2 linked regions of the Caenorhabditis elegans genome follow. The protein of the gene in region 1 purifies or fractionates together with the protein of each later gene. This does not show direct contact. Each region holds a gene or a part of one and is shown on either strand. Other genes may lie near its edges. The genes, in order: idhg-1 and ttr-48.

The links.
Region 2: the proteins of idhg-1 (region 1) and ttr-48 fractionate together in Caenorhabditis elegans (co-fractionation; one large-scale study listed by BioGRID). This does not show direct contact.

The regions. Positions count from the first base shown.
Region 1 is NC_003281.10:4,566,931-4,572,572, forward strand, and holds idhg-1 (Isocitrate dehydrogenase [NAD] subunit, mitochondrial), read left to right. Parts: upstream 1-2,082; 5' UTR 2,083-2,093; coding exon 2,094-2,219; intron 2,220-2,261; coding exon 2,262-2,474; intron 2,475-2,523; coding exon 2,524-2,652; intron 2,653-2,703; coding exon 2,704-2,808; intron 2,809-2,853; coding exon 2,854-3,066; intron 3,067-3,142; coding exon 3,143-3,286; intron 3,287-3,331; coding exon 3,332-3,520; intron 3,521-4,133; coding exon 4,134-4,205; 3' UTR 4,206-4,935; downstream 4,936-5,642. Other genes in the region: mlcd-1 (Malonyl-CoA decarboxylase, mitochondrial), read right to left, coding at 33-188, 235-410, 456-682, 731-853, 902-1,036, 1,086-1,187; Serine/threonine-protein kinase sel-5, read right to left, coding at 5,186-5,277.
Region 2 is NC_003284.9:3,840,273-3,844,657, reverse strand, and holds ttr-48 (Transthyretin-like family protein), read left to right. Parts: upstream 1-2,209; 5' UTR 2,210-2,210; coding exon 2,211-2,302; intron 2,303-2,347; coding exon 2,348-2,445; intron 2,446-2,489; coding exon 2,490-2,562; intron 2,563-3,393; coding exon 3,394-3,475; intron 3,476-3,524; coding exon 3,525-3,674; 3' UTR 3,675-3,789; downstream 3,790-4,385. Other genes in the region: Homeobox protein ceh-18, read left to right, coding at 1-220, 265-331, 381-439.

The sequences.
Region 1 (5,642 bases):
GTAACTCAATTGTCTAAAAATGTACAGCTTACGATATTCTGAATTCCCTTTCAGATTTCTGATAAGCCAAGGTCGGAAACCAGGAATCGGAGATAATGTTGAATGAGTTGTGACTGATGGAACATCTTTTTGAAGTTTAGTGGCGACTTTCTTGATGAGCATATTTCCGAGATCAATACCAGAAAGACCTGAAAACGAATAAAACATGTAATGAATACATTTCTTAAATTTTACCAGGCTGTGTAGAAGTGATTGAATAATAAATTGCAGTTGTTTGATCTTCTTCTTTTCCAGTCGGTGCTCCTCTTTTTGTGATTTCTTGTACACTATCCGCTATCTCATCAACTAATGCCACGTGAACCATCACAAGTGGGTTCCGGGGAAGAGCTTCGTGGGAAAAATAGAAACATCTGAGAAAATGAAATTTTAGTTTTTTATTTTTATTTCATAATTACCGTCTCAACGGACCAAGACGTTTTCTGAAATCTGAAAGTCCTCTAACTGGATGAACTGCCTCATATTCGGCGACTTTCTGTAGAATATCTCCAGGAGATGACCACGTAAGTCGTTCCAATTTTAGATTTCCTAAAGAAAACCATGAAGTTAATACTTCTCTAGTGGCCAGTTCAATGTGACGGAGATATGATGTTGTAGTTTTGTCAGTTTCCCGTTTTAGAAGTGCCTGAAAATAATTATATATTCGATGCTAATTTTATTTTAATTTTAATACCAAAATATTAGCCCTCATTTCACAGACTTGCATAACTCCTCCCGGTAAATTTCCAATTGATTTTATCAAATTCACATAAGAAGCTGTTGCTGATGTTCTTACTTCCGGGTACATTTGATCATTCTGAACTTTACAATTTTTGGTCATACGATGTCAATGATAATAACCAACCTTAGAATATAGAGAAATCGCATGATTTAGGGCTTCTTTGTTTACACCATAGTTTGTGACGAGATCTACGAAAATCGATTTTCGAGTTTCTGGCGTGGAATTGGCATATAATTTGGAAAACTTCTCGCTATAAGTCTGAAAAATAAAATTTTTTCAAATAATTGGAAAATATAGTTCAACTTACGAGTAACTTATCTCCACTTGTTCGATTTGTGAGTCCGTCTAAAGTAGATAATAATGTGGAAGAATATCGAATCGAGTAAAAATGTGAATATCGACGAAGCATTATTTACATCAACCTACAAAATAATTATCTATGGGGGAAAATAACAGTTTCATAGCGCGAAACATTCTCGAAACAGTCCGGGAGCATGTAAATCAGCAAAACGAACAAATAAAAAGATAATCAAGTAACAGTTAACGTTTTAAATAGTAGTTAATAAAATAATAAAGACTTTGTAACTTCAGCCAAAACTATTTCTTGGATACCGATTTCTGTATAAGAAATAGACGCTATTTTTGGAAAAAGGCGTGCCAGGTTCTACATGAAACAACTATTTCAAAGAGTTTTCAATGAAACAAACTTTAAAGAACAATCCTAAGACATTTATTTCTACACAAAAATCACTAATAGATCACCTGATAAGCGCTTGAGACAACCAACAAAACAAAACAACGAAGCAACAACAATTCGGCGGCGAAAATCAATCAAGCGCCAACTGCTGTTCGAATTCCCGGATTTCCCCGGCAGTTGGCTTGAATTGCAATCTAGACTAGAAGTAAACACAAACCAATGAACCCTCAAATAGAGAGAAAAAGCAAAAATATTTGAAATAGATAGAAATGAACGAAAATGGACAAAATAAACATAAAAGACGAAAATGAAAATGTCGCGCGGCGGAATTGCGAGAAACACGTGCGGCGCTTGCAAATCAATCGGTCGGCTCGTTCCGCCCTCTTTTTTTGTGCATATAATTTCTGAAAATTATCTGTTTAGTGATAAATCTGAGTTTTCATAATGATAATGATGATATCGGGAAGATTTAATGTTTTTTGTTAAAGTTTTGAAATATACTATACCCTTCTATTTAAAAAATTGGCTACTATTCTGACATGCACTTTTAAAAGTACATTTTTAAACTGTTGTTTTTCTAGTAAATTCCATTTTTTTAACATTTCAGGTAAAAACAAGATGTCGAGCAACGTCCTCGGTCATACACTTCGCTCTTCGAAGAATGTCGTGCAAAAGGCGTTCGTCGCGACTTCACCGAACTCCGATATGCTCCGATTCCGTTCTCCAGTTCTTCAAACTAACACAGTAAGTAATTCATTTTTATCTGCTATTAATATCAATTTTCAGACTAAGCTGGCTCGTTATGGAGGACGTCACAACGTCACAGTCTTGCCAGGAGATGGAATTGGACCAGAAATGCTCCATCATGTCGAGAGAATCCTTTCAGCAGTTCAAGCTCCAGTAGATTTCGAAGTGGTTAATTTGACCTCAAAGGAAGATGCATCTGAAGATCTTGCTGAGGCTATCACTGCTATCAAGAGAAATGGTGTTGCTTTGAAGGTATTTTTGTTGAAAGATTAAAATCAAATTTAATTTTTTTTTTTTGAAGGGAAACATTGAAACTAAGTTTGATAACCCAAGCTTCGTTTCCCGAAACTTGGAACTTCGTCGTCAACTCAATCTTTACGCAAACGTTCTTCACTGTTCCACTATTCCAACTGTTCCAAGCAGACACACTGTAAGAATTTTTTTAAATCGATTTGTACAAATTTCAAATGAAAAGCTTTAGGGAATCGATATGGTTATCATCCGTGAGAATACTGAAGGCGAGTACTCTGGAAATGAGCACGAAGCCGTTAATGCTCCACATCCTCGTGTTGTCGAATCTTTGAAGGTTGGGATTATCAACTGAGATTTAGTCCTAATTTCAAATTTAAAGGTTGTTACTCGCGAAAAATCGGAACAAATTACTCGTTTTGCATTCCAATTCGCAAAGAAATATGGAAGAAAGAAGGTTACTGCTGTTCACAAGGCCAACATTCAAAAGTTGGGAGACGGTCTTTTCCTTAAAGTAGCCACTGATATCGCCAAGGCCGAGTATCCAGATATTGAATTCAATGCTATGATTGTCGATAATGCTTCCATGCAGTTGGTGGGTTGTTTATTTATTCATCAAAATAAATGTTCTGAAAAAAGACGAATAATTAAAAATCCTTATTTATTTCCAGGTTTCACGCCCACAACAATTCGATGTTATGTTAATGCCAAATCTCTATGGAAACATCATTTCAAACATTGCTTGTGGACTCGTCGGAGGTCCAGGACTTGTTTCTGGAATGAACATTGGAGAAGATTACGCCGTCTTTGAAACAGTTAGCATATTGATGAAAATATTAAATAACATTTGTTTTTTTCAGGGAACCCGTAACACCGGAACCACTCTTGCTGGAAAAGATCTTGCCAATCCAACTGCGTTCATCCGTGCCGCCGTTGATATGCTTCGTTTCCTCGGACTTCAATCACACGCCGATATGATCTCCGATTCATTGTTCCGTACGCTTGTTGATAAGAGAATTCACACCGCTGATATTGGAGGAACTTCTAAGGTAAGAATTTCATTAATTTTCTAAAGTTGTATATATTAAATTCTTACCTTTTCTTTATTTAAAAGTAGAGTAGAGTCGTTTTGGAATTTTGCTCAAGATGATATCCATAAATGGACCGTAATTTAAAAATTTATACAATTTTTCTAATATTTTGCAAAATTAAAAAATAAGATAAGTGTTTCTGAATTTCCGCGCGAATAAGTAGAATAGTTTTTTTGCGTTTTTCGGCTGTACTGAGTGATTACTCTTAATTTTGTTTTTTTAGTATTTGGTATAAAACACACATACATTTTCCGCAAAGAAATTTATGAATTATCGAGTTTTAGGCTAATTTTTGAAATGTTTTCGAATTTATTTCGGTTTATGAAGTTTTCTTTGCGGAAAAAATATTTGAAAAATTGCCGGAAAAGGCAAAAATGTCGGAACTCACATTTTTTATTCTTGCAAAATTGGAAAAATCATAGAAAAAATGTTATAAATTTTTTTACAGTTATTATGGTCCATTTTCGATGATTTTAAGCAAAACTTCAAAACGACTTCACTTTTTAGAACATTAACTTTATAAGTACTTTTTAAAAATGCACTACAAAACTTTAATTTAATAAATTTTCAGTCATCGGAACTCGTTCAATCAGTACTCGACTTCATCGAGAAGGAGCTCGAGGACCGCAACTACCGTGTCTAATTTCTACCTGATAATCGAAAGTTTGAAACATCCCACATAGTGGCTAGCTTTACCCTTACGTTCTTTTCCTCTGTTTTTTTTTCGATTAATCCATGATTCGTAGCATAATGCGTTACTCATTGTGCTCTTTCTCTGTTTGACCCCGTTGACTGAACGTTTCCGCCTGATGTCTCTTATCTTGTTCCTTTCTTCCTCATCTCTGTACCCACAATTTTCTTTGGATTTTAATTTTTTCTGATTGTTTGAATTTTTCTCATTTCCAGTATAGTACAATATTATAAAATTGGTTTAGTGAAATTCGATACTCTGTTAATAATGTTAATATTAGGTTACTGTCACAAAGTTAAGTACTCCCCCCACCAATATGCTCTTAACCTAATTAGTCAATACTTGAGAGCTGCTTGAAAAAAGGCGGAGTTTACTACTGTAGCTACTGTATCTTTTTGAATGCTCCCTAGCTCACTTTAATATTATTCATTTTTTGCCACAACTATTCTATTCTTTATTTCACCAGACTATCTAGGAAATATTGAACTAATACAAATTTTAGTTCAATATACCGGATGGTCTGGTGAAAGCAACATGCGTTGTAAGTTCTTTTTCAAAATCAAATGTCGATCGAACATTTCAATTCGAAATAATTTATTTCGGGTCAGAAAAATTGTACTAAAACTTGCAGAAAAAAAGTTGAAAAAAGAATTAATAAATTACAGAAAATATGCATATGAAACTGGGAGATTGAGTCTATCACAACTACATGCGTGGGTGGATACCAAAATATGAAAATTACAAGGAAAGCATATTCCATATTATACATATCATAAGTACATTGGCGGGAAAATACCAAAAGAAAATAAATAATTGAGAAAATAAGTGATTCTAAATTTGACACAACGACAACTTTGGGGGGAGGGTGAATTGCAAATCACTAAAAAGAACAAATTGTGTAATATATAAAAAGAAATATGAAAAATTCCAGTTTACAAGTCGGTTGGATCATCATGATCTTCCGGTTGGAAGGATGTATTCACAAATGATGCATTTTTGCCAGTCAGTGACGATTTTTTATCTTCTGAAACAGTAAATTTTAATTTTAAATAAAACATTAGTTTTTCTATACGGAAGGGTCGTCGTAAATTATTCTGTTTAAAAAAACCAAAAATTTCAGTTTCTTTTTGAAACAAACTTTAAAATTTTGGTCAGTTTTATTTTTTTAGCGATCGGAAATTTTTTAAAAGAAAAGATCGAAACTTTATTACTTTATTTACAAACAAATATATTGAATTTCATTAGAAAAATATGAAAATTTCTTTTAAAAATTTGATTTTTTGAAACCTAGCCTCATATTTTGGCTATTTTCATATTATCGGATATTCCAGTTTTTCCGAAATTGTTTGTTAACCTTTTTTAAAAGATTAACTCTAAAAAAGTTTTGAA
Region 2 (4,385 bases), on another chromosome or scaffold:
GGATATGAATCAGCGAAATGCTCTGGACACTTTTTTTGCGCTGAACCCACGTCCCGACCATGATAAGATGACAGATATTGCAAACTCTCTAGAGCTCGACCGGGATGTTGTAAGGGTATGGTTCTGTAATCGTCGTCAAAAGATGAGAAGAGTCGATGAGCCAATTGAGGGAGAAATGGTAACACCGTCTGTTAGTCCTGTCTTCCCGCATTTTTCATCTGTAAGTCAATTGAATTTTACTATTTTACTCATTATGTATTTCAGATGAGTGCGCTGGAGCAAATTCAAGAAGCCGCTAGGTTAGCTTCTTGTCAAGCCAGCAATGATGACAGTGAGTTGAAAATTTCATCAAGCTCACATATAAAATTAATTGTCTACAGGTGACGGAACATCCGGAAGCCCAGATGCACCATCCAATGACGGCTGCTCGGATCTATAAACTCCAGTTCACTTGTTCACTCTCAAGTTCACTCTCTGTCCACATTTTCCTTATTCATTACCTCAACATTTTGCGTCATTACGGTAATCAAGAGCGTTCAAAGCAGTTCAAGCAGTTTTTTTTTCAAATCTCTGCATTCTTTCTTCAAAATTCAAGCATAACATTTTCGATTGCACACATAATTTCTCATTTTCCCCCCATTCCGGTTGACTGTTCTATTGCCCGGTTTCTCGTCTGATAGCAGTATGTTGCATTTACAACTCTTTTATTCGCTTTTCAAATACCATATGCTCAGGTTTTTTGTCCCGCTGTTTCTTTTTTCTTTCTGATTCGCACGTTTGATTTCTCGGATCCCGTAGAACTTTCTAGCCTAATAAAATTATTTTTTTTTGATGTGCTCCACACAATTGAGCAGCTTCTCAGATGCGGTTAGTAACTCGATTTTCATGGTCTTTTCTGCCATTCACCCTCACCTAATTTCACAGCTTCTCTCGTTTTGACTAGTCATCAAAACGAATACACACCATTCTTTTTGTACGCTGAAAGTTCATGTTTTTCTCAGAGTGTTTTTGCCTTTTTGTGTATCTATGATAATTGTACGTTCCGGTGAGATTTCTAGGTTGTTCATCTCATTCTTTCCCGATAATTGCTTGAAACCCACCGACACACTCCGTTTGAATATTCACCTCCCCATTCTTCCTGGTGCATAGTTACGATATATTCAATTGGAACTGCTGGTTTCGATTTTTAAAACCCGGAGCTTTTCTTCTGATAGGGTCAATTTTTGTATGTAACTTTTCGAGAACAGTTTTATTTTTTCGCATAATTTTTTGATAAATATTGAACACTTTCAACATTTTCCAGAAAAATTTAATTTCAGATACAGGTATTTTTTGTGAATTTTCATCAAAATTTAAGTGGAGTCACCACAAGTTAGGTGTGGTATGGTTTTGTAAAAATTTGTTTTAAAAATAATTAAAAGTGTTGTATGTTGTATAAATGTTGTTTTTTTTTTGGAAGTCGCCTATCAAAAAATTGTTTGAATAGGTTGGCTATGACATTTGGTCATTTTTGCATCATAGCTGGCACCATGGTTTTTTAAAAATGTCGCAGCGTCTAGAAACTAATTTTTGTCGTCCAATTTTGGTTACAACATTTTGGGTATAACTCTGCGACATTGACAAGTCGGTCAAATTTCAAATTATTCTAATTTTAGGCTATTTTTTGAGCTGTAATAACTATTTTTAATAGTTTTCAAGAAGTTTCATTATGAAATTCGGTGTTTTCAGACAATTTTAAATATAATAAACAAATAAAAGAAATTCGACTACACCACCTTTAAAACTCCAAATCACGTCAATAGATGTATTTGTTCTTATTTGTGTTGAACCATATGTTGAATAATCATCAACTGATCATATAATCAATATAAATTGTTTATTTTTCTTTTGAATGAAGAGCCAAAGTGTCCTTATTGTCAATAGCTTCGCGATAAGAGTGATAAGCTAGAATAGTGTTGACCAGTGTTTGGTCTATCAAAACGGTTTAGAAACTTGATAATGAAACTGTACACTGCGACCGTTTCATTTTGATTCTTCCCAAGTGTTTTGGGAAGCGTCGAACATTTTGATCAATATCAATTGGTGTCTACGTGCATCTCTATTGAGAGGTCAGGTGTTCACTGAGCATTTTGTTTTCCGGTATCTTCTTCAATATCCTTTCTATTGATTCATGAATCGCTGAGAAATACGTTTAATTATCACATTTCAGCATGATTTTCATATTTATCGCCGCTCTTCTTTTACCAATTTCATACGTTTCTGCTGGAGCGGATCTTGATGTCCCAACTAACATTGCCAACAGGTAAATTTAATTTTCAATTTTGTAAAAATCAATTTATATTTTTAGAACCATGGCAGTCAAAGGACAACTGTATTGTGGAAAGAAGCCTTTCGAAGGAGCCAAGATCCGACTTTTCAGAACATTTCAACCAAATGCAGCAGATGGTAAGTAAGGTATCAAGTTTTGAGCAAGACCATAATCATGTCAGATCTCGCCGAGCTACTCGACGTAAAGAACACATACATTACGGGAATGTTCCAAGTTGAAGGAGGTACCGCGAGGTTTGTTATTTTTTGCTGAGAAAAGGTTATTTAAAAAGTCAAAAGTTTTCTATTCATGTCTTGCTTATCAATAGTGCCAATAGTGCGTGCATTCGAAATGAAGTGAAGTATGTCAGAATTATCTTGTGCTGAAAACATTATGAGAAGGAAGTTTTACACATTGTTGTAGTGGCATAAATTGGAGAACAGTTTGAAAATACAAGTTCTGAAAGGTGGAGCACGGTCAATGAAAAATAATGGAAACGCATTCATATGACCAAAAACTGACCGAATATCTAAATGAAGTTTTTCAAAAGTTTTGGAATATTTTTTCTAAATAAGCGTAAACTGAGGTTTTACAACTTTTTGACTCGAAATAAATAATTTTCCGAAGTTATTAAAAAACATTTTTTAGCTCCAGAACAATAATGTTTAATCGTTTTCACACTCGCTATTTTTCACCATTACATCGACTGGTTTTAGTATCTTATATAGAAAAAGCAATTCAGACGAACAATTCTAACAATTACAAACTTTTATTTCACTGAATGAATATATTCTTACTCATTTTTTGGGGTCCTTAGAATCTTATCAAAAGTTAAGAGGTTTTTGGGTTTAGAAAAACATTCGGGAAGCTCCTCGATACTTCAAATCTCTACACAAAATATAGAAATTGTGATTCTCATCAAAATTGGAGAGATTTAAGGAAACCAAAGATTTTCAGCAATTTTCGGGACCTCGAAAATAGTGCTAAGTTCAACTGCAACATTTCAGAAATAGCTGATAGCAATTGCCTTGTTTTAAAACCTGGAATTAAGATTAAAATTTTGTTTTTATAAGTTTAACTTTCAGATTCCCACGTACCAAAACCGATATCCAGCCATATGTCACAATTCATCACAACTGCGGAATGGACAATAAGCAAACATCCAATGTAAGTCAAAGACCAGCACTTACGAAACAAAAATCAATTATTTTTATAGTACGGCTACAAACGAATTGGTGTCCGTCTTCCAGAAGATTACGTAACACTCGGAATCAAAGCAAGAAAGGTGTATGACTTTGGAATTCTCAATTTGGAGTTGGAGTTTCCACAAGAGACCCATGATTTGAAGTTCAAATTCACCGATTAAATTTAACTTTTCTTTCACAATTTTTTTCTTCATTATATTTCACATCAAATATTTTGAATTTTATTTAGAAGTTGTTCCCCATGAATGCAATCAGTAAAATTTCTCTTCTCATTTCAAAGCGCTCGCACTCATTTTGTTTTTGTTGTTTGGCACTGGCTGTTGTTCTGTTTTGGAAAACGGATACATCACGCATATCAGATCAGAAAATATGGAGGAAAAGGACGTGGTGTTGAGAAAAATAAAACCACCCAGGTGAGAAAGAGAAGAATCTCACGAAACTTTTCTCATTTGATCTTTGTTCACCGGAGGACAAGCCTTGAAACTGTTCATTTTATGAGAGCTGTTATTGCACGAACCGAAAGAGGGCGGTTTTTGAAAACTGACAATATGGACAGTAAAACTTTTCAGTATTGTTGTGTTCTGTGTTCCGCCGTTTTCGACAACAATTTCCAGTAAGTTTCAATGTTTTGCCGAATTTTCTCTGTATGGAATTTTTATGATACATAATGAATTTTCAAAATGGGGTTGAGCCATTTTTTTAGATAAATAACTGAAACTTTCATACTGTCCAAAAAATTATTATTTTTTGTACACTGAAAAATTTATGCAATACAGTTAGTTTGTGATGCACGCATAGTGGCTTAGAAAGCACACGCGAGCTCAATGATCAATTTTTTGCTAGTCGAAGTGTGTCCCTATGCTGCGAGGTTT